2 linked regions of the Coturnix japonica genome follow. The protein of the gene in region 1 purifies or fractionates together with the protein of each later gene. This does not show direct contact. Links are inferred from orthologs where the notes say so. Each region holds a gene or a part of one and is shown on either strand. Other genes may lie near its edges.

Region 1 (16,935 bases):
AAACTGATAACCATTCTTCCTTTAGCAAAATGACTGTTTACCCAACTTGTGAGGATGAACAATAGAAGAGTGCTGGTCATCTACGACCTACCCAGCTTTACATGTTGCCATGAAACCTACAAGTAAAGTTTATAGTGTGATCCAGGCAGAACCTAAAAATATCACTACTACCCAAATAATGATTCTCGTCAGCACTCAAAGCTGCAAGAATCAAGTTTCCCTATAGATTCCTTTAAGTTACCAAGACTAATTTTCTACTTTTTCAGGAACTCATGCAACTCTTAAAAAATAAAATAAAATATTTAAATTAAAAAACACTGAGACTAAAGAGTAAAAAATTTAATGAGTAAACATATACTTGAAAGCTTCACACTGCAATGGGACATTAAAACACGTTCTAATACTCTGATCCACCAATATAAAACAGGATAATTGAAACAGCAAAACTCCTTTGAGTAATAGCTGGCTCCTGAAATCTGGTGAAGATATTAGTAAACTTTTCTAACTACAAGGCTTAAACCTCTCCTCTAGCCCAGTGCAGTGCAGCATCAGTGCAGCAAGACACTATCTGAAGGATCAACTGAATTATTCAACCTCTTATTATAAAATAATCCATGCCTGTTTAATAGGTTACCAACTTACAGTTCCTACAAGGCTGCTTGTAAAATACACCTTATTTTTTAAAAATTAACTGAAAACTCAAATTAAGAAAACATAACTTGAAAGTGAATTAAGGTATTTTTTGAATTTACTTTAAGTAGATATAAAAAGTATGGTAGTTCAAGCTTTACATAAATAAATAAAAGACAATTTTACAGCTTTGGTGATTTAAAACACATAAGAAAGTTTTACCTGTTGAGAGTAGCCTCTAAAAGTGGGATTAACACTTTTAATTCCTTGAAATAAACCAGTTGGAACAACAGAACCAGGCCTAAAAAAAAAAAAGTTTAAAATATGGGTATTTATGTAATTTAAAGCCTACATTCAGGTAGAATTCTCCAAATTTACTGGGATAATAACTTAATCTGCAACTGAAGTATGGCATTTACTGTATCCATAATATTAACTAATCATAACTTTAGTATTGAATTAACTATACAAAAAAAACAACTGACAAAGACTGTATCAGGCCTATGTTTCTTGTCAAAGAATCAGATGCTGGATCACACGGTCTTGACATTAAGTGCAATTATTTCTTTAACATTCTATGCATACCTGTATTTTCTTAGATGGCGATAACAGAAATTATCACACAAGGAGTTGGAAGCAATTGATATTTGATACAGATTTAAGGACAGAGAAATGATAAATTAAATATTTTAGTTTACATCTATCTGAAATTCATTTATTATTAAAAGTTTACTGCCACTTTTCTGTAGAGTTTATTGTTTATTTCTTGTCATATCTTCTTTACTGCAAATTACATCGATTTTTGTCCTGTCACTGATGGATACAGATAACTGCCTGTAAGAGGGGTGAAAATCAAGGAAGATAAAGTTCCTTCTTTAGGAGAGTAATTTTCTGATATCTACAAAACAGAAGTTAGACATGCAGGACAGATTAATCCACCCTTTATGACTCCAGAATATATTTATAACCATTTTATCATCAAAGTGATGCAATACCTGTTTTTGTGCCAGAGTTCTGTCATCAGCTTGAGGTAACTTTTACAAATTGCTGGTTTTTTATCTGTTCGGGCTAAGCCTCCACAGTCAAGAAAGAAATGCGTTAAAGGTGGGCTGAGTTAAAAAGAGAAACATATATAATTTTTAAAGTTGAAATAGAAGAGTAAATCCACATTTCATAAAATACTATTAAAAGAAGAGCAATATTGCTACATAACTGAACAATTCAATTTCCTACATCCTTAGATACTTTAGCCAAACATTTCCTAATAGCACAACTGCAGAAAATATGCGCACAAGCAAATAGAAAAATTCATTTACAACTACCCTACGTACCAGTTGGAAAGAGCTTGTAAAGCTGCATTCATGTAACAAGTGTTACCAATATTTTTTAATCCTGTTAGACCTGAAAAAAACCAAAAACAAAAAAAACAAACCACATTCAGCAAGAATGGTAATCTAAGGCATATTAAGAAAAGCATTTCATAATAAAAATGTGCTGATTAGGATGCCTGTGTCACAGTTATAAAGCCCAGTATAATGTAGATTTTTAACCACAAGAAAAACAGGACTCCTAATTCCTGCATCTAGATTACTCTATAGAAAAAGTAATTAGTGTTTTGGTATTGGGTAAAACACTTCAGAAAAGCAAATTATGTTTTATTTTAATTCTTTCTGTTTTGTGACAGATGCAGATCGTCATTTTAAAATACAGTTGTCAAACATTTATACATTAGTAGAACTTAACAATTTGCCCATTCGGTTACATCATTTCTATGCTGTGCTCAAAACAGTTAATCACAGGACCAAAATAATCAAAATGAAGATTTAACTCTTTTGTCAAATACATGTTAACATTCAAATATGATATTAAATGCTCAAAATGTACTTGCCATGTGACTACCCAATACAGAGCCATAATTAACTTACAACCAGTTTTTTCCTATGCCAATTACATACCCTTATTGTTATACACAGACTGCTCAATTTAGATTACCACAAAGAATGTTTTCAAGCCCAGTTTGTCTACTCTCTTGACTGATATCCACATATAGTTTTCCCACACACATAAAAGCTACAACTAACATTCTTTCAGCGATTGCAGAGGCAAGCAAAAATGCCCTCTAATTTGAGGAGAAGCTATTCAAAGAAGTCATAATTATCATACAATCCCAATTCAGGAAAAAATTCATTGGAACCGTTTGCTATTCAGAGCTACTGAAGTGTTAAATAAATAAACTAATTCACCTCAAAATAAATGTGCTGTTGTGTGGGAAAATAATAACACAAGCACAGAATCAATGAGACAGATGATGTTATATGTAGCAATCAACATCACTGATTCCAACAGAATCCTTTAAAAGTACAAGACTAACCCTGATCTGGTCCATGTCAGAAAAGTAAAACTTAAAAATGGATTTATGTATATTAGAAAATTCAATGAAAAGTAATTTTTTTTTTTTTTAATTAAATGGATTTATTCACTAAGTTGGTAAAGGGTGTCTGCCTGAGAAGAAATACAGTCCTGCATCCCATTATCTGAGCCTGCATACTTTTAGTCCCTTCCAAGATGTACTACAGAAAGGGCAGTCATTCTTACTTAAACGTGAAAGTAAAAATAATCCTGAACTGAGCTGTTGAAATATCTGCAGCTATTTAAAAAAATATAAAAAAAAAGAATTTAAAAGAAATAAAACAATACTCTAACAAAGTCTTCCAGCCTGCAATGTTAGAAGTGAAGTTTTTGAAGAGATTTCTTTCCTTACGATGAAACACTCCAATGCTTAATTCATCAAAAACACACAGAAAGAATTTTTAGTTGTTTTTCCTTCAAATTTGAAGTGTATGGACATAATCACATAAATATTACAGGGAAATATAGCACTTTCTATTTGTATATTATTTCCAAACAATTTACATTTCCAGAAACATTCATAGGATTCTAAACTCATATATACACATTGGCAAGAAAAAAATAACTAGGAATAAAATACATAGTTTAATGAGTTTAGGGCAGATGGCAAATTAGTGGGGTGGTGATATATCCATAAAGACTGTGCCAGACAACAGAAGGGGCAAAGCAGGCTTTTTGGTCAATGCCAGCAGATTTGCTGGAGAGAAAGCTAGTAGCACATGAGTAAAGGAGAAATAAGATCCATATATCAGAATAACTCCTACCACCACTGATGGAAAACAAACTGCCTTACAATATGCATTAGGTTCTCAAAAGTGACACCTTAAAAGTTTACTGGTCAGGTACTATAAAGAAAATGATACTTAGAAATACTTTCTAACAAATATGCATATCCTTTGTGATATCAGTTGAACGTAATGAAACAATTCCAGTCAGAACCGAATTAACATATAGCTGGAAAATGGACTTGGAGATGGACATATGCAATAAAGATCAATAAAGGACTGCATTTCACTTTCATTACCTCTAGTCTTTAACTCATCCTCTTCCACTTCTATATCAAGGTCATCAAATACTGCTGATAATGGAATCTTCAGCGTGGGAATACTGGGTATTTTAAAATCCTTATAAGGAGAAAAAGAAAAAAGTATATGTATTTGTATCTACCCCTTTCCCTCATAACTTTGTCAATGAGTAACTAAAAGTGACTTAACGAATTTCAAAATCTTACTGTCCGTAAAGTGAGGATTTCACAATAGATTTTATCATGAAATAATACATCTTTGTTTTCACATTAGTAGCTACAATATTGCATGATTTTAGGACAATAGCAGAAGAACTGAAACAAAGCAAGCTATAGTGTTTTTTCCTTTGACAGAACAGTTATCACATCAAAACCACGGTTTCTGGTTTTGATCTGCCACCAGATGGCTCACAACATTTAAGAAAGGAATTAAACTGCTAGCAACAAAAATATACAAATGCAGAAACAGATTATTCAGCAAACAATTACTGCGTGACAAGCTCCTTTTGTGAGCTCATAAAAACTCTACACAGAGTATGACACAGACAAAGCCCTGATGATTTTTCTGTACATCATACCCATTTCTTCAGCAGAATAAAGCAGGTTTAGTTGTCACAGGGCACAAGTTAAGAAGTCTAGACTTTGCTCTGTATCAAGTCACTAGAAGTTCTAGTTAACAGATGTTACAATAGAATCCAGCAGTACAAGTGCAATTGGGATGCTGGCATGTACTAAAAAACTACTCATCTTTCTGTCCCACTTCCATCTTCAATAGTAAAACCCCACACACAATTTACATATCATCTTTCCCAATACTCAATTCCCCAGACAAGGTATTTTTAGAAATACTGCACTTCTATCAGTTTTAACCAAGCTACTCCTCAGTTTTATGGAAGCACATTAAACACAATAAAGAAATAACACCCATTTTCCAGACATATGATGAACAACTATACTTTTAGAAGAAAAAATGGGAAGCATAGGTGAACCATTCCCATCTTGTAGTCTTAAATTTAACCCAGTGCTTTTTCTGTACCTACAGAGATTATTATTGATTAAAAAACAATCAGGCTATAAGATGAAAACAGCATTCTCAGGAAGTACAGATTACACAATCTGAACATATAAGGCTGGCATTGTCTCCAGAAAAATTTATCAGAACAGAGAAACAAGCAGAAAGTATAGTCACAAGAAATAAGAAAAGTCAGATTCACAAGAGAAGTCACAAAGTTTATTGTAAAGATACAGCTGATCATTTCACTGGGTTAAAAAAAAATACCTGCACGCTATTTTCTTGTGTTTGAGTCAGCCTTGCATTGGGCAATGGAGAATGAGATCCTAATTTTCTATCCAGGAATACTTCCTTACTACAGGCGTAACACCAAACACGGAGCGTAGTAAGGTTGACAGTTAGACAGTGCTTTGTCTCCTAAAACAGGCAAAAAAAACCAAGAATGTGATTCAGAGATTTAGCTTAATTAAATAACAGAAGTATTAAAATACTGGATCTTTCAATAATGAAATAATTGTGCATGTTAAGATACATAGTATTTATAGCAATTTGGTTAGTACAGTTTTAGCACATGCGGCAACACATTATTAGCATAAGCCAGTCAAAGTAGAAACAACATATAATCAGTCTCCAAGCTGCTGTCATACGTGTGTGAAATGCTTCAGCGTAGTTATAAAAGCAAAAAGACTGACTGTATTCAGAAGAATTACATTTTGCATTAAACTCATTTTCCAGGTCTGCCATTGGTTGTAAGAGCAATCTCCTCCCACACAGTAAGGATGATGTTTTATTCTACTGGTTTGCTGTATAAAATTCAAGCCATTGGTTGCTTAACAAGCAATTAGATCTCAAGTCAGAAAGGAAAAAAATGGTTTATCGTATTTCAGTTTGTGTTCATATCTTTGTGGGTCTGATCTTTAGTCCATTTATTGTAACAGTTGCTCTTATCAAATTCTAGACCCAATTCTAGACTCAATTAATTCTCTATATAACATTATGGACACACAAATTTTTGATGGACAATATCTCCACTGTTGTAACTTCCACCTTTCATTCATGAATTTCTTTTCCTACTGTAAGATCACACACATAACTGCTATTAAACTCCAAAGATTTCCACCATCCTTCGCTGTATGTGGCAGCACTGACCAGCTTTAGATAAGAAATTTTCTACCATTAAGGAAAACAATACCACAGCTGCAAGGATGTCTGATTTCCAAGTACCCTCGCTTAATATGGCCGTGTAAAATAGCGTTTTGTAACATTAGATGTGGACTATAGCTTCATTAAATAGCCCTCTAACTGCACTGTGACTTCTTTATAACACTTTAAATGAGGGCTTTAGAACTAGGATTCACTTAAAAAACTTGTTAAAGAGGTACACTTGTATACAGATTTACATCAATCCCACACTGATGTCCATAGACATGCAGTCGACACTGCATCAGAGGAAAAAAAAAAGACAGGAGTGGGGGTGAAATGCAATCAAAACATACTTTTAGGAGCAAGCATCCTATTTGTTCATTAATAATCATCACTTGGTTGTTTGTTTTCTTCCTCAGTATTATTAAAAACCAAAAATTTCACAGTGTGCAGCCCTCAATTTATTTTCTATGACAGATGAACTGCAAATTGGCAGCAAAAATTTAATCAGAAAGCCAGTGAGTAGGATGTTAATAAAGCAACCTCTGTTCCTAGTATATTCATAGAATGGCATAGGTTGGAGGGGACCGTAAAGATCATCTAGTTCCGGCCTTGCCATGGGTAAGATTGCCAGCCACTAGATGAGGCTGCCCAGAATCCCATCCAACCTAGGTCTCCCCAGAGCCTTCTCCAAGCTAAACAAGCCAAAATCCTTCAGTCTTTCTTCATAGGAAAGCTGCTGCAGCCCTTTGATCATCTCCAGGGCTCTCCTCCTGTGCTGGGTGCCCCAGGCCCAGACACAGTACTCCAGATGGGGCCTCACAAGGGCAGAGCAGAGGGGGACAAACACCTCTCACCTTGCTGGCCACCCCTCTGTTGATGCAGCTCAGGGTACAGCTGGCCTTCTGGACTGCAGGAGCACACTGCTGGCTCATGTCCAGCTTTTTATCTATCAGGATTCTCAAATGCTCCTCATATTTGTTAAGAAAAAGTGACATAGCTTATTTGTTCCATTTTGGCAAAGGTTCCAGTCACACATGTATGTGCACGGAAGAAAACGCGAGTTTAAGATCCAAACAGATGCACTCAAGCTGGTCAGCCCAGCCAGAACTCAGCACGTTGTCAAACACAGCACACACACACCACTGCTCTACCAACCTGGATCTAAAATCAAAATCTAGCAGGAGGACGTGTCCAGCTTGATTTACAGGGTTTTTATCTGAAGCCACTACAACAGGGACCATAATGCAGAAACAAAGCACCAGTTTCATGAATTAAGAATCACTAGTTTTAACATTCTTTATTCTGTATCTTCATCAACACAACTTCCCTCCTCTCGTTCATCAGGCAACCACAATCCCATGAAGGCAGATGAAAGCATAGCATAAAACTTGAGGTACTCAAGAAGCCTCTTGTCTATAGATCTTGAAAATTATCACTGCTTATTTGGGTGGTTTTTTTTTGGTGTTTATTTTACTGTTCCTTTCAATTTTCACCACAGTCTTTATAGAAGCTCTGGGGTCAGAATTACATAAATAATTACACAGCTGCAGAAAGATTTTATTCACACATCCCTAAGCTAATGAAACATGATCCTGTAAGTGAAAGAAAAGCAAAAATAAGGGATTATGCCAATATATGTTATCAACTTCATTAAACAGGGTAAGAAAGTTCCGTAATTCTACTTCAGTGCTTCAAGCTACTGAGTTACTAACAAATGCACTTACCTGGGAATGGATGGTACTGTGATCAACATGGGACTCGCCACAGCCAACATACGTACATCTGTTCTGTTGAACAAGATATGAAGAAGTACACAGAATTAAAAAGTGGCATCAAACAGGTTTACAGAATAGGAGCACACAGCCAGTCCACTTCAAATGCACTAATATTTCAAACTTTCAGGTTCCTACAGAAACCAAGAGACATGCACGCTAAGTGTTAAAATAAATATTACCTAAAGCTAAGCCAGAATGCTGCAAGATTTAACTCAACTCCTTAACCTGGTGGAGAGCATAAAACATTTAGTATTTCTAAAACGTACATATTTTTTGCCATTTTGATATTTTAGTTCAGATTAAAGTCAAAGTACATTTTTACTATTCATTATTTGACAGAGACTGTAACAGAAAATATTAAGTTAGCTCAGTGTCCAAAACACTGAATCACAACAGACTAGAAGCAGGACATATGTACATAAAAATGCCTTTATATCCTTATATACAAGGCCTATTCTTCATAGAATTATCTCACTGTTCATTGATTATTTACCTTGAAATAAAGGTTTCTGGCATTATGTGGTTAGGCGCTCACTACATTTTACTTAAAAGATCTAAAGCAGTTTTTGATTTTAATTATTGAGTTTAGCTGTGCTAATTTCAAAACATATTTGGCTGAGTTGAATATGAAATCTCGCAGTTGTCAATCTTCATTAATTCCTCATTTGCATGAGTCAAGACAATCCTTTATGAGGGTACGGCATGTTATCTGTATAGTGCTCTAAGCATGTTAATTTATGCAATCAAACTGCAGCTGGACACAGTCAAATTTCTGCATTAAATTATCACAGGTGATGGTTAGGTTACAGATAGTTAACATGCTGGGATCTCACCATGTGCTGGCTGCTTTTCTATGCACAAAAGGTGAAGACAAGATGTTAATTCATCCAAGAGGAGATGTATCACAGCATGAAACTTTAAATGTACTACTGTAATCAGAAAACTTAACTGGAACTGTTGGTATGAAATTAAGTTTTTCAATAAGAGTCCAAGAGCTCTAAGTGAGAAATAAAAAACAAGCTTTAAGCTTCACAGCATTTCCCCACCTGCCAGATTCATGCATCCCTCAACACCTCTTCCTATTTGTCTTCCTATTGCCAAGAGGATTTTTATATGCAATTAAACTTCAAATCATTTAAGAAAAAGACATTAAATGTGGCTGTTTTTCCCCCTCCTTTCTATCTTCTATTGACGGAACAAAATCTGATCTCTTCACCATTACAATACATTTAAAAGGTAAATAATGATGTATATTTTTAAAAGCATTCATACATGCACCTATAGGTTTCCATCTCAGCCTAGAAGTCTTCCTAACAGGACTTAAACAGAGGCTGTCAAGAAATGAAGCCAAGCCTTTACAGTAAAATATCAAACTCAGGAAACAGCTCTAGGCTTTAAGAGCTCAGAAGACATTTTAAAAACTAAAGCAGCTTCACAATCTCCTGTCGGTATGGATAAGAAGCAGAGAGAAAGAAGAACAAGGTAACAACATACTTTAGATATAACTATACATAGCTTAAATACAGTACAGAAATTCAGCTAAGTCTGAAGAATGCTTCTACATGTTTAAAAAAAGGGTGAGAGTGTTACTTATTTTTAAGAATCAAAATTCAGAGTATCTGTTTTGATAGCTGTAGGAAGCCAGCATATACTGCCAGCTATTAGTATTAAAAATCGTAAGAGAAGGTTAGAAAAAGTAGCTTAATTTATTCAGGTACAATATATTATCTTAGGGTCTACAGACATAATGGAAAGAGTTACTTTTTAATTTTTAAACCTATTAAACAAGAAGAATCCTTAATATGCTGGCTTCTTATAAAAAACCTCATTTCAAACACAATAAGTTACAAGAAAAAGAACTTCAATAAAGCTGTTCCTTCCAACAACATAAACACTACCAACCTTTAGCTGTAGTCTTCTAGAAAAAGATTACAATTGAGCTACTTACCTCCAAGCATGCCCAAAGGTTGGGTCCTCTAACTTTACAGTCCTGACAGGTGCCCTGTTCAGTTAAAAACACAAGCAAAGAACGATTTTTAGTTACGGTCATCAGTAAACCACAACCTCAAGATGAACTGAGAAAAATACTGCAAGACCAACTATTAACTGTGTTTCAACCATCAGGTAATTCTTAAGGTGGAACAAAAAATAACATTTGACAACTTTTGTTTCTCTTAACCCAATTTTAATCTCTGTGTACCTAGTAAAATCTTACAGCTCTGAGATTTCATCTGAAGAAATATTCCTCTAAATAAAACATAAATACATTTCATGTCACATTATCATCAAAATCAGCCAGTCTTGCTCATCGATTTAAAACCCAGAGAAATGAAAATGGAACTTATAACACCTGCACATTCCTATTTCCATACATTCAACACTCCCTCCAAAGGTTTCCAAAGAAAATATGACACTGGAGAAAAGCTATTCCCCTCAGCAGCAAACAACTGCTCCCCTTCTACAACCGTGGACAGAAAAGGTTTAACTTTTCATCACTTCCCCATTATTAAAATGAGTTACAAAGTCTTTTGATCTCTTTATTAATACTAGCTAGAAACCAAGAGTTCAGACAGGTTTTCAACCTGTGGCTCCTTTATCAGAAAGTAAACTGTGATCCAACAAAAACCAAAGTATATATTCCTCCATTTCACTCAAAACATCAGTAATACTACCTACAGTAGTACCTACTCTATAGCTACACTTCCACATTCTAAGTAACTAATTGCCACAACAGAATCACCTGAAGAAGTTCTGCTTATCTCTTTTAAGTGATATATCCATTAAAGCAATATCGCTTGCTTTTAAAAACACTGATGGGAAATATTACTTTTAAATATCAAGTATGAAAAAGGGCTTTCAGCCTTAAAGTCCATTATTTGTACCATATTTAGTTTAAACATTATTACAGCAGTGCAAAAAAGATTTTACTGCATATTTAGTTGCTTGTTGGGTTTTTTTTTTTGGTTTTTTTTTTTGCATTTAATGCCCAGTAATACAAGATGAACTGTGCAACTTATTCATAAGGATGCTTAACTGAGATAGGAAGGAAGGAAGGAATGTGCTACAACTCACATGAGACTTCTGTATCAATTCTTCTTTTGTTATCTCTCCAGCTGACTCCAGGTGTGGACAATTGCTGCTGAGCGATGACATTTTCATATGCTTTCTTTTGCAAGATCCAGACCCTGGGATTTCCACGACCAAGAATGCACTTTTCAACAGGAGCGAGAATAAGCAAAACCCAATTCCTTACAGTGTGCAGCAATAGTAGAAATCTAATATACAATCTTTACAAGAATATGCATTTAAAAAATGTTAAAATAAATAACTTATCAAAACTGCGGGAATCAGCAGTCCAAACTAAATACAACTGAGTTGTAAAAAATGCAAAACACTATTTTTCTGAGTTTTAGGGTATAAACCTAAATGAGTGGAGCAAAGTCAGTCTGGCTGAACTACTCATCTTCCTGCCTTCAACCATGGCACTCAAAAGGCAAAAAATGAAAGTGACAGCTTTCAGGCCTACCCAGGGCTGTATGTTTGGAAAGTGTTATTACACAATACTGCTCAAGTGTGCTGAAGCCACATGACCTACTTGTCAAGGCAGAAGGAAACTTTATCTTGCTTTTATTTATTTACACAGACACATTCTAGATAGCAGATACACGATATATCAAAAGCAAGCTGAAACTTGTAACTCACATGTAGTACCAACTGCCCAGCAAACTTCCCTCTTGCTTGAGTTCTTCCTGTCCATCCAACAACCCTGATGCAGACACACAAACTTATCAGAAACAAGCAATGCTCAATACATTCACTTTTCCATCATTATTTCAATTTTAAAAACTGAACATGGCTACATTATGTTCACATAAGTACTCAGTGAACTCTCACTCCCATTTTGCCACTTGAACAATTGCTATTGATGCCCTGATCTCTTAAGCCCAAGAAGTCTTACATTTTCATTGCCCAATTATCCATCCAATCTTGCTCTCCTTTACCAAGGCATGCAGGAAAACTTCCAACCTAACTCAGCAATGCACTTTATTCTGTCTGCAACCTTATGCTTTGATCTCCACTTCTCATTTGCTCTGGCAGCTCTAGACCTGTTTCTTCACCTGCATGACCAATCACTGCTTTTAGTGCTACGTAATCCCAAGGCTCTGGCAGCAGAGATTGGGAACAAAACTCTGCTAAGCATCGCATACATACTTCCTAGTAAACTTCCAGCTTTTTACCTTTTACTTGGTCTTCATTTCTACTCTCCCATAATAAGACATTTGTCACTTCAGCTTCCTCTGATTACTGAAGACAGCTTTTTTGTGTTCTTAGCGTACTATATGAATGCTTTATGTACCGTGATTATATATTATACCTATAAAAATAATGTAAGGCATATGAAGATATATATGTCATATATATATATATATATATATGAGTGTATATTTTAATATATATGTGTACATATATTCAACATCTTTCAATCTTTTTGCACATCACAGCTTTATGATAAAATACCTGAGATCACAAGGCTAGAAAGACAACAGTAAATAATTTGGGATTTTAGACCAAATAAAGTCTAAATTCTTTTCCCTGATTAATGGAAGAACCTTTAAAGGACACTGTTATTGAATATAAGTTGCAGATGAAAACATATTTTCTCAGCTTGTGTCCATTTGCAGTATTGCTGAAAGACTTCAAATACAAAACTAACAGTTTTTCAGGCAAAAAACTCATTGACTTTGTCATACTGGAAATTCTGGTTTGAACTGTAAAGTTCCTTTCTGGAAAGGAAACAGAAAGATTTATGCACATTTCGTCTTGTACGTTTCACAATGTCTACACAAGTGTTAAAAATGGATGAGTGAGTTTCAAATAAAGTCTTATCTTAAAAGACGTCACGGTGAATTAAAGCTGATTTAACACAAATGCCTTAGAAGGCTTGGTATAATAGCTTACTAAAACCTTGGCTTCATTACTTTACAGAAGTATATTTCTGAATGAAATATTCCAACCAATACAGAGCAATGAATGATGAACTTCATCTCATACTACCAGGTATCTATTCAATTGCTCACTATCAGAACTGCAAAACCAACATAAATAAAAAAATCATGTAAACCATCACAAAAGCATGAACAATATTTTAAATATTATCAACAATTTATTCGTTATTCAGCATAATTCCATGGCATTGTAAGACTTGTGTGCTGACTAGCAGGGAAGGCCTGTCATATACGCATAGAAAAAACATTAAACACTAAGAGTTCAAGTAACCTTGAAAGCTTACCACAGAATTTCTTAAGAAACAATAGATTGTAATTTTTATTTATATATAATATTTATTTATAATTATATATAATATTGTAATTACTTGTTTGTAATTTTTTAATTGAAGCTAGAAATCAGTGTTTCCATTCATCTAATCACAGTAGTTAACACTGTAACAATGTTGAAATAAACAAATATTTCCATTCAGCTGATGTCCCCAGAGCCTTTTAATCAGATCATTATACAGGGCTGCTCCCACACACCTGAATACTCGCCCTACGAACTATATAAATAAACTAATTTGAGAAATCAAAAGATAATTGTAAAAAACCTAATCTTACATAAATCCCAGCCGAATAAATCGTACATTTTGTAAACAAAACAGAACTCAATTGTGGAATGTTGGGGGAAAACAGAACAAAAGGATTATTCTGAAGACAACAGCTGCCTCAAGCAGTAATTGTATCTTCATTATAGGCTTTAATTACTGTGAGGATTCATCTCTGAATAACAGTGTATTTAGCCAGTTAGCACTAAGCTCAGGGCTCTCCATCTACACTTGGGGTTATTTCACTACTGACACACTGGAACAGTCATGTTTATTTTCTCTTTCAATACTAATAAGCAAGAAGAGTGGTACAGGGACGCGATTCTGTATCTGGGTGTTTAATTACATAAACAGTAAAGAGCTCTGTAGCTTTCAGTAATTAACTGCTACACAACCAACATCACCATCCCCTGCAAACTGCACACGCCCTTTGCCTCAGATGTATGTAATCAGATGTTAAAGATGCACATTTTTTTAATCAACATTCTAAATAATTCTGCGACAACCTATTACTTTGCAACAACAATGCGTGCAACACAAAACAAAACATCTTCTTTTTTATTAATCTTGAAAAGGTTTGGTAATAAAACAAATCTAATCAAAAGGACCAAAGGAAGATCGCTCCTTAGTTTCACATCCTACTTTCTATTCTGTTATCCAGTCCATGGTTTTGATACCTTGTCCCTGGATCCAGGCAACAAGAGTTACTCACCTTACCAAGTCACTTTCATTATATGTTTTGCCTTGTATTGTTTCATACAATCATTAAGGTTGGAAAAGTTCTCTAAGACCATCCTGTAAGACTGTAATCTACCACCAATACTGTCCATTAAATCGTGTCCCTATGTGCCACATCCCCACGTATCTGGAACACCTCCAGGGATGGTGACCCCACCACCTCACCGGGCAGCTGTGCCACTGTATCACTGCTCTTTCTGAGAAGAATTGTTTTGTAATACACAACCAATACGAGATCTGAAACGTAAGGAAGGAAAATGTGTGTCTACACCCACACACTTGCACTATCATGCATATGGCTATGGCCTACAACTTAACCAAGAAACTTAACCAAGAAACTATATATACACACACACACACACACACACACACACACATATATGCATATATATATATATAGATAGATAGATATAGATATATTAACATCGTTCTCCTTTTTTACATGATTCTTAGAATCCTGATTAACATGATTCTACAGTATCACCTATGACAGTTTAAAAAATTCCTTTTTTCTCTGGGAAGCGTATCTTTAGAATTAAGCTTGAAAGCAGGCGAGCTAACCACAGAGTACAAGCATTACACCGAAAATTAAGTCATAACTGATTAACTGAGTACTGGAGCGCTAAATCGTCGAAAGGACATTAAAAAAAGCTCACAGAATCACAGAATGAGCCGGGTTGGAAGGGACCCCAAGGATCATGTAGTTCCAACCCCCCTGCCTGGCAGGGCCACCAAACATACACCTTTACTAGATCAGGTTGCCCAGCTCAAACTGGGAGTTAACCCGCTTATAAGGTTACACAATACTTACGCTATGTTGCCTTCTAAAACCTACAGCCTGCCCATCCCCTTCTCTCCCCACACACTGCCCAGCAGACAGACCCGGAGCACCGAACCCGCGGGGAAGGCCCAGCCCGTCCTGTGTGTACGGTCACAGCGATGGCTGGGGCCAGGCTGCTTCACACTCCCAAGTCCGGACGCAGCCACCGCCCGCTCCCCCGCTTCCTATCCCCCTTGGGGCGCACAGACCACCCCCGTTCCTCCTCTTACCGATCCTACAGCCGAGCCGCGGCCACTCCGCTAAGGACGCGCCTCAGGCTCCATGGATATCGCTTCCACACCCCGCAGGCCGCGGCGCAGAAGGTGACCGCACAGCGCCGCACCGGGCCGGCACAGCGCCCCCTGCACAGGCGGACCAGCGCCCACCGGACAAAGATGGCGGCGGGAGCGCTGCCCCGCACAAAGATGGCGGCCGCAGGCTCTCGCCCCGCCCGGCCGCCTGCAGGGGAAGCTGCCCTGCCAAAAGATGGCCGGCGCGGGATCCGAGCGGGGCGGGCTGTCCTGACGTGTAGAGGCCGCCTCACGACCGACCTCGGCCGCTCCGCCCGGAAGCAGATCGTTGCCGTCTCCTAGCAGCGGCGGGAGCGGGGAGGGAGCCGCCCGCGGGGCTCGTGGCTGCAGCTACAGGTAACCGAGGGCGGCACCCGCCGGGTCGCTTTGCAGCGGGGCTCGGCTCGTAGCCCGGCTTTGGGGCAGGAGGGAGCTCTCGCTGTCACCCTGCGCTGGGGCTGCGGTTGGAGGTTTGCGCTGCGTTGGGCATCGGGGAAGGGTGGTGCTCCTCACCGAGTGAGGTTACGTCAGGCTGTGGTATTTATTCCTTGTCGAGTGTGTGTAGAAACGATGCATCTCTCAGCGAGAGCCTTCCTGTCTGCCCACGAACTCTTTGAGCTGGTGGATACGGTCCTGCTGACAGTAGCGATCGTAGAGCTGGCTTGTGTATAATTTGGAGGATATAAGCAATGAGCTTTTAGGTAATAAAGCAGACAGCCCTCTGCAGGTCCCTGCTCACACACACAGCCCTTTGCAGAGAGCAGTTACAATGGGCTGGAGCTGAGCTAGCAGTGCACTGTTTTTTTCACTAAGCACTAATCCCTATGCACGAGCATCTCTGACAAGTTATGGACCTGTTATCTGGGGGCAGCAAGCCTGTAAAAGAAAGTTGTCCTGGGCTTGCATTGCATAATTCTTCATCCTTCGTTTGACAGTATTTAGAGGACATCTGCAGCTGATGTTTTCAACGTGATTCAACTTAATGAATTGATGGGAGAGAAGGAGCCATGTCAGAGGAGGCTGTTACTGAAGCACGCTTTTCTCTGAAGACAGTGGCTTTACGGGCATTTCACCTTCCTGTGTCCTGGTATCACTCTCTCACACAGGTAATGTGCACATTATCTGAGTTTTGTGATACATGGTTAAAGTTTAATTGTAATATTGTACTCACTTTTTTTGATATTAATATGAGCTAAAATTGTGAGGAGCATCTTGGCCTTAGTAGCTAGAATAACGATTTCTTTTATCCTTTCCTGCTGATGGTGTATCATTGTATATCAGATGGCTTTTTCTGCTATGTTTGTCCATCTTCATTTTGTACAATCAAAATACCTGAACTGTCCTTTTCTGTAGAAGTTTTAGGTAGTTAAAACTAAACATAGCAGTTGGTTAAATTTGGGGAAGCACTATGGAGTGCAAAGCAGATCAGCAGTACCACACTGCAAGTTCATCTATATGATAATTCTTTAACAGAAGTAAAAAAAAAAAAAGT
Region 2 (16,298 bases), on another chromosome or scaffold:
CTTAGTCACCAGTTTTCTCCAGAAATGTAACAATAAATTTATGAAGCAAGTAGAAGCATTTTAAGAGACAAAAAGATCATTAATGCCAAAATTTGCTTTAACTCCCAAGTACACCTAAATTTTCAGAAAATTTGTCTGTTTTTATGGTGCAGATATTAGTGTGCCAATTGCATATGTCTTCCTGGTAAATAAATGGTTTGCTCCACTTAATCACTGCCTGAACAGGACAACAACTTGGAATTAAGGAGGTCTATTTTTCCATTGAGTCCATTAGCTCACAGTTCTCACCCAGCTTCCTTATTTGGAATAATGATTATCAGCTTCTTTGTAAAGAATCTTGAAAGCCAGTGAATAAAACAAAGTATAGTGTATATCAAGAGAATCACAGTTTTCTTTCAGGCTTTTTTTTTCCTTTTCTTTTCTCTTCTTTCCTTTTTTTTTTTTTTTTTTTTAGGAGAGAATGTGATGATGTGATGCAAAAGATTCTTTATTGAACATGTCTGTTCAAATGTGTAAGCAAATACAGAGGATAGTCTCTAACTGTAAAAGTGTGCTGGTGCTATTTACATTTTTGTATGACCTAGATTTCTTCGCTAACAGTTGAGGAAATGGAGGATGTCAGTAACTAGGGTTTGCTAATAATAAAATAGAACTTAGTGCCCCGTCCTTTCAGATGATTTTTGGAAGTTCAAAATAAATTTAAGAAAGAGAGATGAAAAATAGCCTTGCTCAGCCAAAGGTGTACATTTTAAACCAATATTTGATTTAACATAATTATACTGCATTGTTTGCAGTTTCACTTCAGGCCGTTTCTGGTAAAATACAATGCACTTAATACCAAAACTATCTATTTAACTAGAAACTGGTTTAGGATTAAATTATGTATTTCAAGGTTTGTTACAGAATATAAAGACTATGATTACAAAAAACGAAGCACCACCTTTTTTTTGTTGTTTTTTTTTTTTTTCTTGCATTTTAAATACAGTAAAGGGAATGTCCTGTATGAATACATGTTGAAGCAAATTTTTTAGGTTTACCAGTTTCTTGCACCATCCTGGCATTTGTACATATTAATTTTTTGCTAGTGCCTATTAAAGTTTGCTTAAAGCTCAGTACTGACTAAGGAAATTATTAGAGCAATCCTGAAAGACATATACAATCAGGGCAAATGTGTGCCTATTTTATCACCAAAAAAAAATTATAAAAGCTATTCTTGTTGTGTACAAAAATGCTTAAGGTTTGAAGAGCAATATGTTTTATATATATTTATGTATATTTAAGGTTATTAATATCTGAATTTATTTAACACTTCTTTTTAAACTCTCTTTCCTAAACACCTTCTAGAATCTGCTTTTCTCATACCAGCCCCCTCAGTCATCCAGTAGATTTTCAGTTTCACAGACAGGAGACCTCACCATCACCAATGTTCAGCGGTCTGATGTTGGGTACTACATCTGTCAGACTTTAAATGTTGCAGGAAGCATAATAACAAAAGCCTACTTGGAAGTTACTGATGGTAATGATATCCCTTGTTTTTGTTGTTGTTGTTTGTTTGCTTGTGTGTTTTTGTTTTGTTTTGTTTTTTTATCATTTCCAAGTTTTTATTTTTTATTTTTATTTAAATATATCAGTGAGAGTATGTGATGTTATTTTAGTATCTGCTTTACATGAGCACATATTGCATGCAGGTTTTTTTTGAACCTAAAATCCTGTTTGGGGCATCTCTATCATGAGTTTCAATTTTGGATATTGTGTGTTGCCATTTTGTTGTGTAACAACACAACTTTAGACACAAAGCTCTTTAGACACTTGTCATAGTTAAATATAAACTATGTGTGAGCTTAGGTTTGACTTACTCTGATGAGAAAGATACTAATGGTCTCACAGTGCTTTCCAGAACATTACAACAGGTTGGGACAAGAAGTAAAAGGTAAATTAAGCAATTGAAAATGTCAAGTGTCATTTGAACATGCAAATGAAATTACAACAGTTGGAACTTAGCCAAAAAAACCCATTGCCAACACCCTGTATGAAAATAACCTAGAAATATCTGATGTTCTCAAATTCAGAATTTCAGGTTTATATTTCAACAACCAAACTAGCTTTTAAGTTAAATCAATACCCATGGCACTGCTAAGCTCAGTTATGTCACTTTAAGTTATGGCTACTTCTAAATCGACAGCCCATGTCATGTTGAATGATACAGGAAAGAGAGAGGTCACTCAGTAAGATAGGTTTTACTTATTTTCTTGATTATGCATTGAACAATTGGGGGGGGGGAAAAAGAAAAGAAAAAAAAAAAGTATAGTCATATTTCTGTTTCTATGAATGCTGAAATTATTTATACTTTTCTTTGCATAGTTATTAAATAATATATCAAGACCATTTCATTTTCATTGTTTGCAAGATGCAGTAAAACTAGTGCAAACACACTGTGTGTTACTCCATATAGTTTTGAGCTAGTATTGCAGGTGAAGTTATCATAAAACTGGAAATCTGAAACTACTGGAGAATAATTCTTAGCTGAAAAGTTTTGATACAGTACTTTCATTAGCTTTGTGTTTAGTCTACTGGAAGGCAAATCCCAGTTAGGAAACTGCAAAAATAAGTTGATGGTTCACAGTATTTAAGACAAAAAAATATATACATATATATCCTAGATATTTGCCATTTTGTTCAATGTCTGCCTACCTGCTTAATATCTATCACTGAATCTTGAAAGTATTGAATTCTGTTACACAGGTGCTCTGTATGGTAAAAAACAAAACAAAACAACCAAAAAATGAACAAGGTAAAAACTGAATTGCAAAACCATTGGGAAATCCTTTCTCATTTTGTTATCACTTTATGAAGACACTGCAATTACAGAATGCCTATGTAATATGTAATTCTTCTTTCCCTTCTGAAATTAATGTATTGTATATCATTATAAATTCTGTAGCTGTGCATCATTATGATGCACCATGCCCTGAATAATGCATGCCTCCAACTTTAATTACTTGTTTAATTATCTTTAGTTTGTTACAAAGCCTCAAGCAACTGCTGTTGCTTAGATGATTAGAAAATTGCTTCCAGTCACAGAAATCTATGTCCTGTTGTTTCTTCTGGCAGTGATTGCAGACCGGCCTCCCCCTGTCATTCGACAGGGTCCTGTGAATCAGACTGTAGCTGTAGATGGTACTTTAGTACTAAACTGTGTGGCCACAGGCACTTTAACACCCACTATACTCTGGAAAAAGGATGGGATCTTGGTCTCTACCCAGGACTCTCGCATCAAGCAGTTGGAGACAGGAGCATTACAGATCCGATATGCCAAGGTAGCTTGAACTGGCCAGCTCTTTTTTGTGCTGAGTTTTGTTGTTGTTGTCTGTTGATTATTTCTCTTCAGGTGATTTTTTTTTTCATATTGGAAATACTACAGTTAAAATTAATGAAATGTTAAATAATTGTATTAAAATATCTGATACTTTAAGTTTTCAGATGGTTCATTCCTTAAGTTTTACACCATGTCTTGTATAGCCTAGGGCCTATTATTTCAATGGAAAAATGCTTTTAAGTAATAAGGGGATTATTTGCTACTTAAAACATGAAGGAAGAAGAAAAACTTACATTTCAGTGAGATGAATCCTTATATAAGTTGAGTTTCATCACTGATAGATGGAAATTATCTAATTATTTGAAGCCTCTGCTAAGGATACTGCAGTTATGGAGTCATGTTCACAGATTTTTGAATATAACATTTATAATTTAAATATTTTTACTTTATAAACATAGTATAGCCCTGCCTTAAAATGGTTAATGCCCGTCAAATACGTGGCTTTCTTAGGGAACTGTAGCAAGTGCCTGTTCTTCCTGGTCAGTATTGCTGGTCATGCCTGGCAAAATGGAAAATTCTTTAAAATGACATTATGTTTTTGCCTACTAACTCTCTATTATCTTTTATGTGGTTTGAAATGTATTAATTCTTAAAATTAGGCCAAATACATGGCTTTACTACTTTTGCTAGACTTGTTCTGTTACTAATTACCAGTTACACTGTAAGAACAGGGTTGGTCTCTTCTCACTAGTGACAGGATGAACGGAAATGGCCTCAAGTTGCACCAGGGGAGGTTTAGGTTGGATGTCACAAAAAGCTTCTTTACAGAACGGGCAGTTAAGCACTGGAATAGGCTCCCCAGGGAGGTGGTTGAGCCACCATCCCTGAGTGTGTTTAAAAACCATTTTGATGTGGTGCTCAGGGACGTGATTTAGCAGAGGGTTATTAGAGTTAGGGTAGTATGGTTAGGTTGAGGTTGGACTCAGTGATCTTTAAGGTCTTTTCCAATCTAAGCATTTTTATGATTCTGTGAAAGAAACCAGAGCAACAGTCAGGCTGTGGTAGTGCTGTCTTATGCTGTTTTCAATTATTTCTTGCACTGCTTTCTTGGTACAATGCATAGTGTTGAGGATGGTAAAGAAATGAGATTTTAGAACTATTATCAGATTTTTATCCACAATAACCTTTCTGTAACAAGAAAGACCAAATATCTTTCCAGGTCTTCTGAACAGTGTTCTCTGATTTTCCAGAGAAGGCTTCTACAAAGCACTTGGTTTCTCAAACCTTTGGTAAATGTTAGCCTGGAAATTAAATCAAAAGTTATTATTGCCTGGCACTGTAGAGCACTGTCTTGTGAGCAGTCATTCTATGAAGGTGGTGATCCCTTTATGAGTCTTCAATAATTAAAATGCTGTTATTTAATTAGTCTCTCCTTTTGCTCTCAGAAGACATCATTAGGATGAGCATTCTCAGCACATGCAGCATGAAAACATCAACCAGTCTGTTACCCTCTATGACTAAGGGTCTGGAGCTTCATTGTTACAGAAGACTGTTACCTTGACATTAGAGAACCATTGTTTCTACATTTTTTGAAGAAAAATAAAAATGTGATCTGAAATTTCACCTGGATGAATGAAAAGGCCATGGCAATAGAAAGGGTTTATTATTCAGACATCCTACTTCCAGAAATATTTGTCTATGAAATACAAAGTTATAAACCTGTAAATGGGTACTGCTGTTCCTGCTGTGCATTGGGTTCCATTTTAGAATGCCAGCTGCTCTCCTGTATCTACAGGGCAACTCTGTTCTTGTTGAGTTCAAGCAGCTCTGGGTACTCTTTCTTGAAGCTGGGGTTGTAGTAGCAGAGTAACTGCAAAATGCAAAGGAGAAGAGTTGTGATCAGTTTGAGACTGAAAGACAGTGAGGTACAGAAACTTAAACTTTTAATTGCTGAAGACAAACATGGGTATTAAAATGTCTATTGGTCAGTTTAAACTTACAGCTCAGGATGACTAAAGCAAGATATGCTGAAGTAATAGACAATACTCTCGTTTATTTATCTTTCTGTTTTATGGGTTCAGACTCACTGGATAAAACCCAAATATATTTTTTCCCACATTTCTAGTACTCAGCAATGCTACCTCTAAAATTCCTGCAAACAGCCAGAGGAACAAATTAGGATCAGAATATTTCCTGTCATTCTCATCTCCTCCATTACTGAGGCTTATTTTATTGGACCCTCCATCTCTTCCACCAGAATATTATGAGAGTTGGTTCATGTGTGGAGCAATTGACGTACCTTTCTGTGGGCTGCAAATGCCTCTTCCTCTGCCAGAAACTCAGGAAGTGAGGGAGATCTTTTGGAGTCATGCTGAGTTTTTGCAAATCCATACACATTAAGTTGACAAATAAAGCTTTTTATGCTTTCTGTCCCAAACTCTCAAAGATCCTTTCTTTCCCAGTACTTCAATCTGAAACATTTCTTGGTCAATTGTAATGCAGCTTCCATTCTGACCCCACCAAATGCTCTTAAATTGGTGACTTTCTGCAATACCCAGAGTTTCTCTGGAAAAGTGAGGGCTGCAGAGATAACAGTGCCTCCATGTGTGCTTTCCCTGTAAGATGCATGAGGTGTACATTTGATTTCCTCCTAATGAGGATGAGTTAGTACATCCTTTTCATCCATTTTTGATGCCCAGGCTGTTCCTTTATCCTGACCTGGAAAATCAGAAGGAAAGCCTAGGGATGCATCTGGACCCTCTGGATCAGAACCAGAAACGAGCATTCATTATCTACTCTCTCAGTAGACCGTGTTTTGTGCTCTCAGCTAGTTCTGCAGGGAGCTACCCTTTGCCCTGTCACCTGGCAAGTGAAATCCCACAGAACTGTTGAGGGGTTCCAGGGGGAGAGGCTCAAACATCACCATGGTGCCCATGTGTCATGGTGACATCACTGTGCAGTGCCTGTGGCCCATCTGGTGCAGCAGCCAGAGCAGGCGTTGCTGACCTGCCCTTGTTGCTGGTCCTGCACAAAGCCACAGGTATTTTCACTTGAGTCAAGGAGCAAATCAAACTGTACCTGAAGGGGAACATTCCTCGTCCAGACCTTGCTTTCCCTTCCCTGTGTCGTCCCCTGAATCACTCCCTTCTGGACTCCTTGGTGTCCCTTGGGTTCTCCAGATGGGAGTGGAAATCAGCACCATTAATAGAAGAAAATAGCATTCTCTTGCCATTGTGTCACGATTTCTTGCAAATGCTCTTTTATTTCAATTGCACAGCTTCTGTAAGGGAGTAGCTGTGTGCGCTGGCAATGTCAGCTATGTTTCCCAGAAGGTGCTCTGCAGGTCCAATAGAAAAAGAAGTACATTTTGCTGATCACAAAAGCAGGAGTTGTACAACCCCTCTGTTCTTTTATTTGGTTCCTGTGTTTTTATTTGATATTTTAGAAATTTAGAAAGCAGTCCCACAAAATCAGTGATGTTCTCAAAAGCTATCTAAATTATGGCCCTCTCTACAGAATTAAGTGCCAAGTAAGCTATCATTCAGAAGTGGATGAGAATAGCATACGGAGATATTTTTGGGGGGTCTGCCTTAGAGTGAAATTTATACTAACACAAAGAAACCAGTAGGTAAAAGGCCTTGTGAAATATTTAAGCTTTGTTTTAGGAACAGCATTCTCTACAGCTCATCAGTCCAGAAAGTCCCTAAGCATTACTTAGGCAGAAGAGTGTATGGGAATCTTGACATCTAAGTTCTTTTTCAATTTATTTCTTGAGGACTCTACAGAGTAAGGAGTAAGTGCTACAAGACTTGGTCTTCAGTGTGTGGATTTCAGAATGGGCAGTGTTTAATAAGAATATGCAACATTTCTACTTTTTTAAAGAATACTCAGAAACATAACCCTTTTCATTTTGTATAATGTAAAATGATTCCTTCTAATGTAAGAAGTTTGTTCAAAGTTTCTGCAGACTAGAAGATTTATTCATATTCATAGAGTCATGTACAAAGGTATAATTACTTTTCTAGCCGACTGAGTGCCTGATTGTTTCAAATATTTATTCTTCTCTTTTTCCCACTCAGCTGGGTGACACTGGTCGGTACACCTGTGTTGCTTCAACCCCAAGTGGCGAAGCTACATGGAGTGCCTACATAGAGGTCCAAGGTAAATCAATTATGTTCTCTCTGCATGGTGTAAATGCATAAAAGAAAGTCAAAAATTGAAATGCAGTAATTACCTGACTGTCATAAATTACCAGTGCAGATGTGAGTAGCATTTAGCTTACAGCTGCTTCCTGTCTGTCTGTACTCAGCGTTTCTCTCTCCTTTGTTAGAATTTGGAGTCCCAGTGCAGCCACCAAGACCCACTGACCCAAACTTGATTCCTAGTGCTCCATCTAAACCCGAGGTTACAGATGTCAGCAGAAATACAGTAACATTGTCATGGCAACCTAATTTGAATTCAGGTGCAACGCCAACCTCTTACATAATTGAGGCCTTCAGGTATATGTGTCTCGTGATCTTGCTGTACTTAAGTTTGTATATAATAATGATATAATGTATTTTTAAAGAAGCACGTGCTAACCTGCTGTTATGTGTGTTTTATTCTTAGCCATGCATCTGGTAGCAGCTGGCAAACTGTAGCTGAAAATGTGAAAACAGAGAGTTTTGCAGTGAAAGGGCTAAAACCTAGTGCAATTTATCTATTCCTTGTGAGGGCAGCTAACGCATATGGACTAAGTGACCCAAGCCAAATATCTGATCCAGTGAAAACTCAAGGTAAGCTTTTGGTATTGAACATTTTAGGTGTCCACATTGGCTGCTACAAGTTGACTGAGAAAGACTGGATGCAGAAGTTTTGCTAGCTTTTAACTATCTGTGCTGGCTGGGCTATATGTTAGGTAGTGAAATACATTGTTTAAACTTGCATTTCCCTGTAACATAAATTCTAAAAGTTGCTTAGACAGCATATTGTGCTGCCTAAGGGATTAATATTATCTCTTATCCAAAAATAGTTATGTCTTACAGAATAGCTCTTGTTAGCAACAAAAGTGATCTCTGATTTTTGAAGTTATCAAGCAAATCCTTAAATTCTATGGAAATGTTATTATTGTGTCCAATGAACCAAATGAAGCTTAGAACTAGAGACAGAAACAGCATATGATCTAATTTGGCTTCTACAGCATTAGGAAAGAAAGAGATTTAAAATTTGAAGGAACTGGGCATTGTGAGTCACTAAAGAACTTTCAGCAGTGTACTGAAAGCATTGCAGTAATACTGCTGTTGAAAGCAAACAGCAGGAAGGAGAAACAATACTTTGAGATAGCTAAGTGAAAGACAGAACTGGGTAGTAGCTTGTGAAGGAGTCACCTGCTGACTGAAGCTACAGGTGAAGTCTAGCTATGGACTTGATCTATCTATACAAAATTCTAAATAAGTTCACATTCATTGTAGAAAATGATACTTAGGGTAGTGTTCAGGAAATAATTATTTGCAATTCCAGGAAGAGAGAGATGGAGCTGTTCAGCCTGGGGAAGAGAAGGATCCAAAGAGACCTGAGAGCAGCCTTTCAGTATCTGGAGGGGGGCCATAGAAAGAAGGGGCTAGATGCTTTAGTGGGATTTGTTGTGATAGGACAAAGGGAGATAGTTTCATACTAGAACAGATGATATTTAGATCAGAGATAAGTAAAAATATTTTTTATAATAACAGTAGTGAAGCACTAGCACAGGTTGCCCACAGAGATGCTGGATGCCCCATCCCTGGAGATATCCAAGGTCAGGCTGGACAGGGCTCTGAGCAACCTGGTATAGCTGTAGGTGTCTCTGTTCATTACTTAGGAGTTGGACTAGATGACCTTTAAAGGTGCCTTCGAACTGAAATGATTCTATGAACTTTGCAGCCTTTATTGTTCCAGTGCGAATGCTTTCATGATTAAATAGGGGGAAAAAAAAAAAAAAAAAGTTTGTCAAAGAAAAAGTAACAAAAGTCATCTTCCTTTTTTTTTTTTTTTTTTCCTTGCTTTAGTAGAGAATTTGATCCATTGGCTTATTAAGATGCCTGTGATATATTTTGATTTATTTGTTTGCAGAATTAAGCATGTTTGTTTTTGGAAGGAAGTTCCATAAAGGAAACAAAAAATCTTCATTTAGGAACTTTTCATTTGTTCTGAAGTTGGTCAGAAAGCAAGTTTTTCTCCCGTGGCGAGTAGGCAGTTTCATATTCCTATTGTTTGTTATTATGCATTTATTCTGTTTGGTAACGATTTCAGTGGATGTATAGACAGCATAGTTATAGCTGCATAGAAAATAGGAATTACAGTTTCCTAGGACTGCCTCAAAGAACAACGTGTTACTGTGTGGGCAGGTGAGCTGCAGTGTTCTGTACATGTCAGTTTTTCATGCAGTGTAGCATTCCACAGGTTTTCAGTTTGAGCTTGTAAGTTAGTTCAAAAATTTCCCACTTAACTTCTGTTCATAGAAATTTATTGCCTTGTCTTAAATTTATGTCCAGATCAGGAATCTAACTTACCTCAGCCTTTAGACCTTACCAGCATTAAAAACATGCTTAAGTGTTCTCACTCACAGTCCCTGTATTGGAAACTTCAGAGACTAACCAAGAAAACATAGAATAGATGATGTATAGTCCTGTAGCACAGAACTGCAAAATTGCTGAGTCTGTTAATCGCTTTAGTCATATTGTTGATGACTCATCTTTTATAATTAGTAGTGAAAATATCACTAATTATTAAACTAACTTTCCTGTAACATTCCAAGTAAGTTGATATTTAGGCAACACTCCAAGTACGATTTTCTATCTTTAGAGCTTTCAAAGCATTAAAGAAATGGTGGGAAGGGAAATGCTCCGTTAAATGAACTGTTAGGCAGAAAATAATAGATATAGCAGTAATATTGTGATATTTATTTATTTATTTATTTTTAATGTAATCAGCATTCCTTTCTAAGAATCTGTATTTGTCATCTACTGATTGCATGGTAATCTCAATTTTCTTTATTAACTTCAGAGAGATCTCATTGTTTTGCAGATATTTGAGTCAGCTATGTGACAAGACTGCAAAGTGGCATCAGCTTTATATGCCAAAAGGGGAACTGTATTTTTGAGAAGCTGTTCTCACGCTGATATTTTTTTTCAGTGCAGCCTTACTAACTTTTTAATATTGCTTAGACAAGGCTTAAAACTTTAACTGAGAGTTTAACTACCATGCAAAAAGGATGCTTCCCATCTTTCTCATTTAATTGTAAGATGTACCTTTAAAAAGGAACTATTGCAGTAGTTGTAATAGATATATACACAATTTCTTTGTACTCCCTTTTGCCTGTCTAGTGAGCAGACAGGTATGGAATTTACCAATGTCTTCCGAGAACTGAATCCTTGAAGGTTTTCTAGTCTAGAGGAGATGAGACAGAGGAAGTAGTAGGCTTGAGTAAGGTTTATGTAATGCATTACTCTGTATCTGGAATTGTATTAAGAAAAGAAAAATACATTCACTGAATTCCCCAGTCTGTGATTTTAACGGTTGTCAGCAAGGTATTTTCTAAAATGAAGTGATCAAAGGGAAACATATGAAATCAATATAGAGACTGTGTTCCTCCGCTGTCTGTTGTACATGTATATTTGAAACACTCTGTTAGTGACTGCCCTATAAATTTTATATATGTCTAGGACAGTCATTAAATTTCAGATAAGTATTCTTTTCAAAGGCACTGCATGCAGAAATGGGTTTCCATTGTCCTACTGCCTATTTTGAGAGGAATTTGTCCCTTCATGTATATGTCCAATTCTTTTAGCTGTAAGATAGACTAAATGTCAGAAGAGCATGACAACGCTCAGCTGTGCTCTGCCTTCTGTTTACAGAAGTCTCCTGCTATCAGAGTGGAAGTTTAGCTATGTGACATCCTTTTAGTTTCTACATTTTTTGTTTCTTTTGTAACTAAAAATAGTAAGTTTGCCAATTAATTTACCTGAAGGCAAATCATTCACAATGGCCCTTTCATATAGTTTTTGTGGTCTCTAATGGAATTTGGAGCAGGCAATAGAATTTTTTTTTTTCCTTCTGGCAGGAAAGATTAAAGAGATGCTTCTGTCGTCATTTTCCAAAGATCTCTCTGAATATGGTTCTTTCTTTTTATCCATCATTTCCCTCCTGTTTCTTCCTCCTGTTTTTGTCAAAGTATATTAACTCAGTAAAAACTTTCTGTAGATTTTTCTTATGTTTCTGGAGAGTACCTGTGATAACTTTAACTGATGAAAACTTCCTTTGTTTTACGATATTTTTATTTGTATTTATATATACTTATTTTAACAATTGCATATATTTGTGGGAATTGAATCTTAAATTATTACAGATGTTCCACCAACAAGTCAAGGTGTGGATCACAAGCAAGTACAGAGAGAACTAGGCGATGTGGTACTACATCTGCACAACCCTACTATCCTTTCATCCTCCTCAATTGAAGTTCATTGGACAGTAAGTACAAATCTGCATCATGAAGGTAGTTACATACATTGCTAAAGTGTACTGTTTCACCACTGTGAAGTCACTCTTTAAGAAGCTGTGTAGTTTTTTAAAAACTGGCAATGTTTTTCATTTTAGTAAGTACTACTAGGGCTTTGTTTTCATACTTCATAGAACTTTGTCCCATTTTCACATTTCTTGTCCCTGTGGAGAATGTTGCTTATAATATGGTGAGAGTTCCGAAGTCCTCCTCTGGATATTAAAGAATTGATCCTAAGCTTTCTTAGGTTAAATCATTTGAAGCCTTTGCACTGCTTTCAGTAGGAAGTGTATTTAGTCCCCTAATGAGATAATGTGGCTAGCCCCATCTGTCAGACAACAGTGGAGGGAAATACTGCATAGTTATCTTTCAGAGTGTTTCCTCCATCCTATATATGTACTGAGAAACACATCCAAAACAAAATACTGTCATATGAATATACTATTCTTCCCACAGTGCTATGAATGCATGTAGCACAAATAGAAGAGACATAAATAACAATTCAGAGGTGTTCTGTTGGTGTTGTTCTGACAGGAGGAAACAGGAAGTTGATCATGTGAAGATTATAACAGGGAAATGGGAGATTAAGGAAACAATATTGTAGAAGTCCTGAAGCAAAGTAGAAATGAAAAAGAAAGAACAATATAGGAAATCAAAAGTAAGAAACAAGAAAATAAAATACAATGAAAATAAGACCAGTTTAAAAAAAAAAACATATAATGAAGACAAAAAATGGGGGAAAGTTACACAAGTGCAGGAATTTATCAAATGGGATTGAGCTTTGAAGTCTTTTCAGATTTTCCATCTAAACAAGTCAATATTGGCAGTCAGAGCACAGGATGTAGCCCCTGCCATGCCATGAGCAAGAGCAAAGACATTTTTACTCTGTAGAAGAGCCCTAGCTATGACCAGGGCTCTTCAGTACTACAAGGTAGTATCTGCAGTGTTCCATCCACTTACCTGCAGCAAGGCCATCTGCGCTGTGCTATTTCCTCTTTTAACTAATAACATTAAAACATTCTTGAGGCTCCTAGCACAATTTTGTTTGACCTTTACTTACAGAACAACCTTTTCCAGGCAGCCAGTTTTTTTGTCAGTTCCTTGGGTGGCCTGTGGCTTCTCTGCAATTTTAAAAGTAAGCATTACTTCAGTCTTAGCTAACACATGCATTCTTTATGCGCTTATTAAAAATGAAAGGTGTTTTTTTTTTTTCTTCTTCTTAGCAAGCAAATGGTTTTATTACATTACTGTGTGAGATTTTTGAAAATAAGGAAAATCTGGTGCACCCTTTTAAAGGCTTCTTATTGTTGCATTTGGACTTTCTTATTCATCAGAAATTGAAATTTGTTGTTAATGCTGTGCAAGAGATCACTTCTGCAAGATAACTTTCTGCTGTGGTTACAGCCAAACACGTTGAACCCTATCCTAATTTACATTAAGGTTTCTTTCTCCATACATGCAGTATAAAATGGCCTTAGTTTAAATCCCTTGGGACCATATTATTTTGATCTGTTTTTCCAAGTCTCATCCTTATTGCCATGCTGATTTTGTAAGCATCTTAAGAGCCCTCTTAAAACAGCCCCTTCCCTCCAACAGAGGAGGCTCCTGCTGAGTCAGTGAACGCCGAGGAAGTGCTTGGGCAGATCTGCCCTTCAACAGCCTCCAGCCTCATCAGAGCAAAGCAGATAGTGCCAGTTGGCTGCCCTTTTAAATCACTTACTCCAGAAGGAAGCATGCAGGAAACAGTGCTCATTTCCTGAATTTTGAGAGGCTTCACACCTCAGGAGAGCTGGCACACTTGGTGCTTTATCTGTGTTCATCAGAGCCATTGATCCCCTGCCCTGGTCTTCTTCCCTGACCAATTCTGCAGAGCACATTTGCATGGGCAAAGTCTATACTGAGTTCTCCTGACTCCATTCAGCTTCTCCATGAATGTAAACGTGGTTCATTTCACAGAGCCATGGTGTGTTATACAATTCTGCTATCTCTCTTTAATGCTTCCATAAATCCACCGAAACTGGTGCCATTCAACCGGCATCAATATTAATGTTCTTTTGAATCAGTCCTATACTTTGCTGTAATTCAAGGAGCCTGTATCAAGTTCAGCATTGTTTATTTTGAATAAAATAAATGGAGAGACCAAGGACTAATGCTGCAGACAGCATGCACAGTTCCTAATAGTTTAATAAATTATTCCTAATTGTTTAATAAATTATTAAAAAGTGCACAATGTGTTGTAAAGGTTGTTTTTCTGCTACTTTTCCAGGTGGACCAGCAATCTCAGTACATTCAAGGATATAAAATCCTGTACCGGCCAACACCAGCATCCTATGGAGAGTCGGAATGGCTAATTTTTGAAGTGAGGACTCCAACCAAAAACAGTGTTATCATTCCAGAGCTGAAGAAAGGTGTAAACTATGAAATCAAGGCCCGCCCTTTTTTTAATGAGTTTCAAGGAGCAGATAGTGAAGTGAAATTTGCAAAAACCCTAGAAGAAGGTAAGTAGGAGCCAGACTGTCTTCATCTTTCCTTTTTGAAGTAGTATTCTGGTCTGCTTTTCTCTGATATGTTCATTATTTGATTTTGTTTGAAGTTTGTGCTGTTTGAGAACAGCAGTCTGTAGCAGAGGAGAATGTGTTGGACTGATCATTAAGTGAGTTGTTTGGTGACATCGAAGTAAATATTCAGAACCATGTGTGAGAGACAGAGAGAGAGAGGGATGTGCAAAACCCTCCTCCAGCACACAATGGGAAATGTGCTTTTTATCTTCACTGCAGTGTGCACTCCTCCCTGCTGAGTTCATGGTCTGGTCACAAGTGACTTCTGTCAGATTCAAGCACTTACTAATCACTATCTTGAGTAGATAGCAGACACCGCAGAAATCATCAAAGCACTGTAGCTGAGGGAATGGAAACCACATTCTTAGAAGGCTTTTATATCTGCATCAATCAGTAATACAAAATGAAAAGATGAATGAGGGCAACAGATATAGTGGACTAAATTATGTATTTCCATCTCAAACGCATGCTAAAAAGAGAAGGTTCATAAAGCTGTTTCTTTTGTTGTAGCTCATCTGGTAGTTCAGGCATAATAAGTATGTGCTTCAGAATAGGGATTTCAGTGCCTCTGCTGGGATGTGATACCTTTTTCCTTATCTCTTTACTACCTGATGTAAATACAGTATAGCTCTTGTTTATTTCTGTAGGTGGTTCAAGAGGTATGCTTAATCGCATTCATCCCAAGCATCATCTAAGCATATTGTTTTTAGAAAAACTATTTAAAATTCAAAATATAAATCTTTTAAGCATAATACATTCAGTTCTGATTTTAATAAGGTTTGTATTGCTCACTATTTTTCACACAGTAGAGCAGCTGAGGTTTAACATTCTGCTAGGATCTGTTTACAGATTTCATTTTTTAATACTGTTGATCATGGATGAGATGCTTTGAAACCCTTTCAAGAATTCTGTGCTGTTCAGGTAATTGTTATCTGAGTTTGGAGTGTCTGGTGGGCTGCCTGACTTTTTCTGTCTTACAGAAACAGCACAGCAGAAATAGGAAGCCTGCCTGTAGGTTCAGATCACTTACCTTGAATATCATTATAATTTGTGGGCATGAATTGCACTTTCAAAAAGCTAGGGAGTAAAATAATACATTTTTGTGGCCCAGAAACCAGTTTTCCTTTAAAAAGAAAACTAAAATCCTTCACTGTTGCATTTGACAAACATAACCATTCAATCTTTCTCCCCAAACAAACAGCGCCCAGTGCTCCACCTCAGAGTGTTTCAGTAACTAAAAATGATGGGAATGGGACTGCAATTGTAGTCACCTGGCAGCCACCCCCCGAGGATAACCAGAATGGAATGGTTCAAGAATATAAGGTAATAATTGCATATATCCGCTGTCAAAGTGTTGGCTGGATTCTGATGAGTAAGTTGTTTGTGGATGCGTGGCTCCATCTACTGGATAAAGTTAGAGCACATCGTTTGGAAAATGATTTCTTTGAAGAATCAAGCTCCATATTTAGTAATTCTGTCTAAATGGTAGAAAGCAATTAAAGCCACCTCTATAAAACAAAACAAAGGTCAGTGCTGATAATTGAAAAAACTGCTTTCTTGTCTTTGTTATACACTGAGAAAAGCCTAGGCAAGCTGAAAGGGAACCCTACCTTTTAGAGAACCATTTTGTGACTCAAAGACATTGGCTGCAATAATAAATATAAACAGGCTTAAGGAGCTGAAAGGCTCAAGGATAATAATTAATGGTGTTATGATATGAGGAATTTATTTTTAACTGAATAGTCAAATAGAAAACTTTCAAGTAAAGAATGTTCTTGTACAATACTAAATATAGTAAATTTATAGAAATTTTCTTGTATTTTTCACAAAAGAAAGGTCTTGTTAAGCTATATAATTTTTCAAAAACTGTAGGTAAGTTATAAAGCATTCATTTGATGTTCATTTAGCAGCA

Evidence for each region.
Region 2: the proteins of USP33 (region 1) and ROBO1 purify together in Homo sapiens (affinity purification with western blotting; 5 studies listed by BioGRID and IntAct, with this or other methods). This does not show direct contact. The link is inferred for Coturnix japonica from reciprocal best matches to the Homo sapiens genes USP33 and ROBO1.

The regions. Positions count from the first base shown.
Region 1 is NC_029523.1:16,715,071-16,732,005, reverse strand, and holds the start of USP33 (ubiquitin carboxyl-terminal hydrolase 33), read right to left. Parts: upstream 11,228-16,935; 5' UTR 11,156-11,227; coding exon 11,069-11,155; intron 9,999-11,068; coding exon 9,945-9,998; intron 8,994-9,944; coding exon 8,946-8,993; intron 8,848-8,945; coding exon 8,830-8,847; intron 8,009-8,829; coding exon 7,946-8,008; intron 5,493-7,945; coding exon 5,343-5,492; intron 4,164-5,342; coding exon 4,064-4,163; intron 2,032-4,063; coding exon 1,962-2,031; intron 1,740-1,961; coding exon 1,626-1,739; intron 932-1,625; coding exon 853-931; intron 1-852. Other genes in the region: MIGA1 (mitoguardin 1), read left to right, coding at 16,451-16,549. UniProt on the Homo sapiens protein: Deubiquitinating enzyme involved in various processes such as centrosome duplication, cellular migration and beta-2 adrenergic receptor/ADRB2 recycling.
Region 2 is NC_029516.1:86,723,677-86,739,974, forward strand, and holds part of ROBO1 (roundabout homolog 1), read left to right. Parts: intron 1-1,344; coding exon 1,345-1,516; intron 1,517-3,111; coding exon 3,112-3,317; intron 3,318-7,395; coding exon 7,396-7,477; intron 7,478-7,646; coding exon 7,647-7,815; intron 7,816-7,924; coding exon 7,925-8,091; intron 8,092-11,678; coding exon 11,679-11,800; intron 11,801-14,094; coding exon 14,095-14,326; intron 14,327-15,587; coding exon 15,588-15,709; intron 15,710-16,298. UniProt on the Homo sapiens protein: Receptor for SLIT1 and SLIT2 that mediates cellular responses to molecular guidance cues in cellular migration, including axonal navigation at the ventral midline of the neural tube and projection of axons to different regions during neuronal development.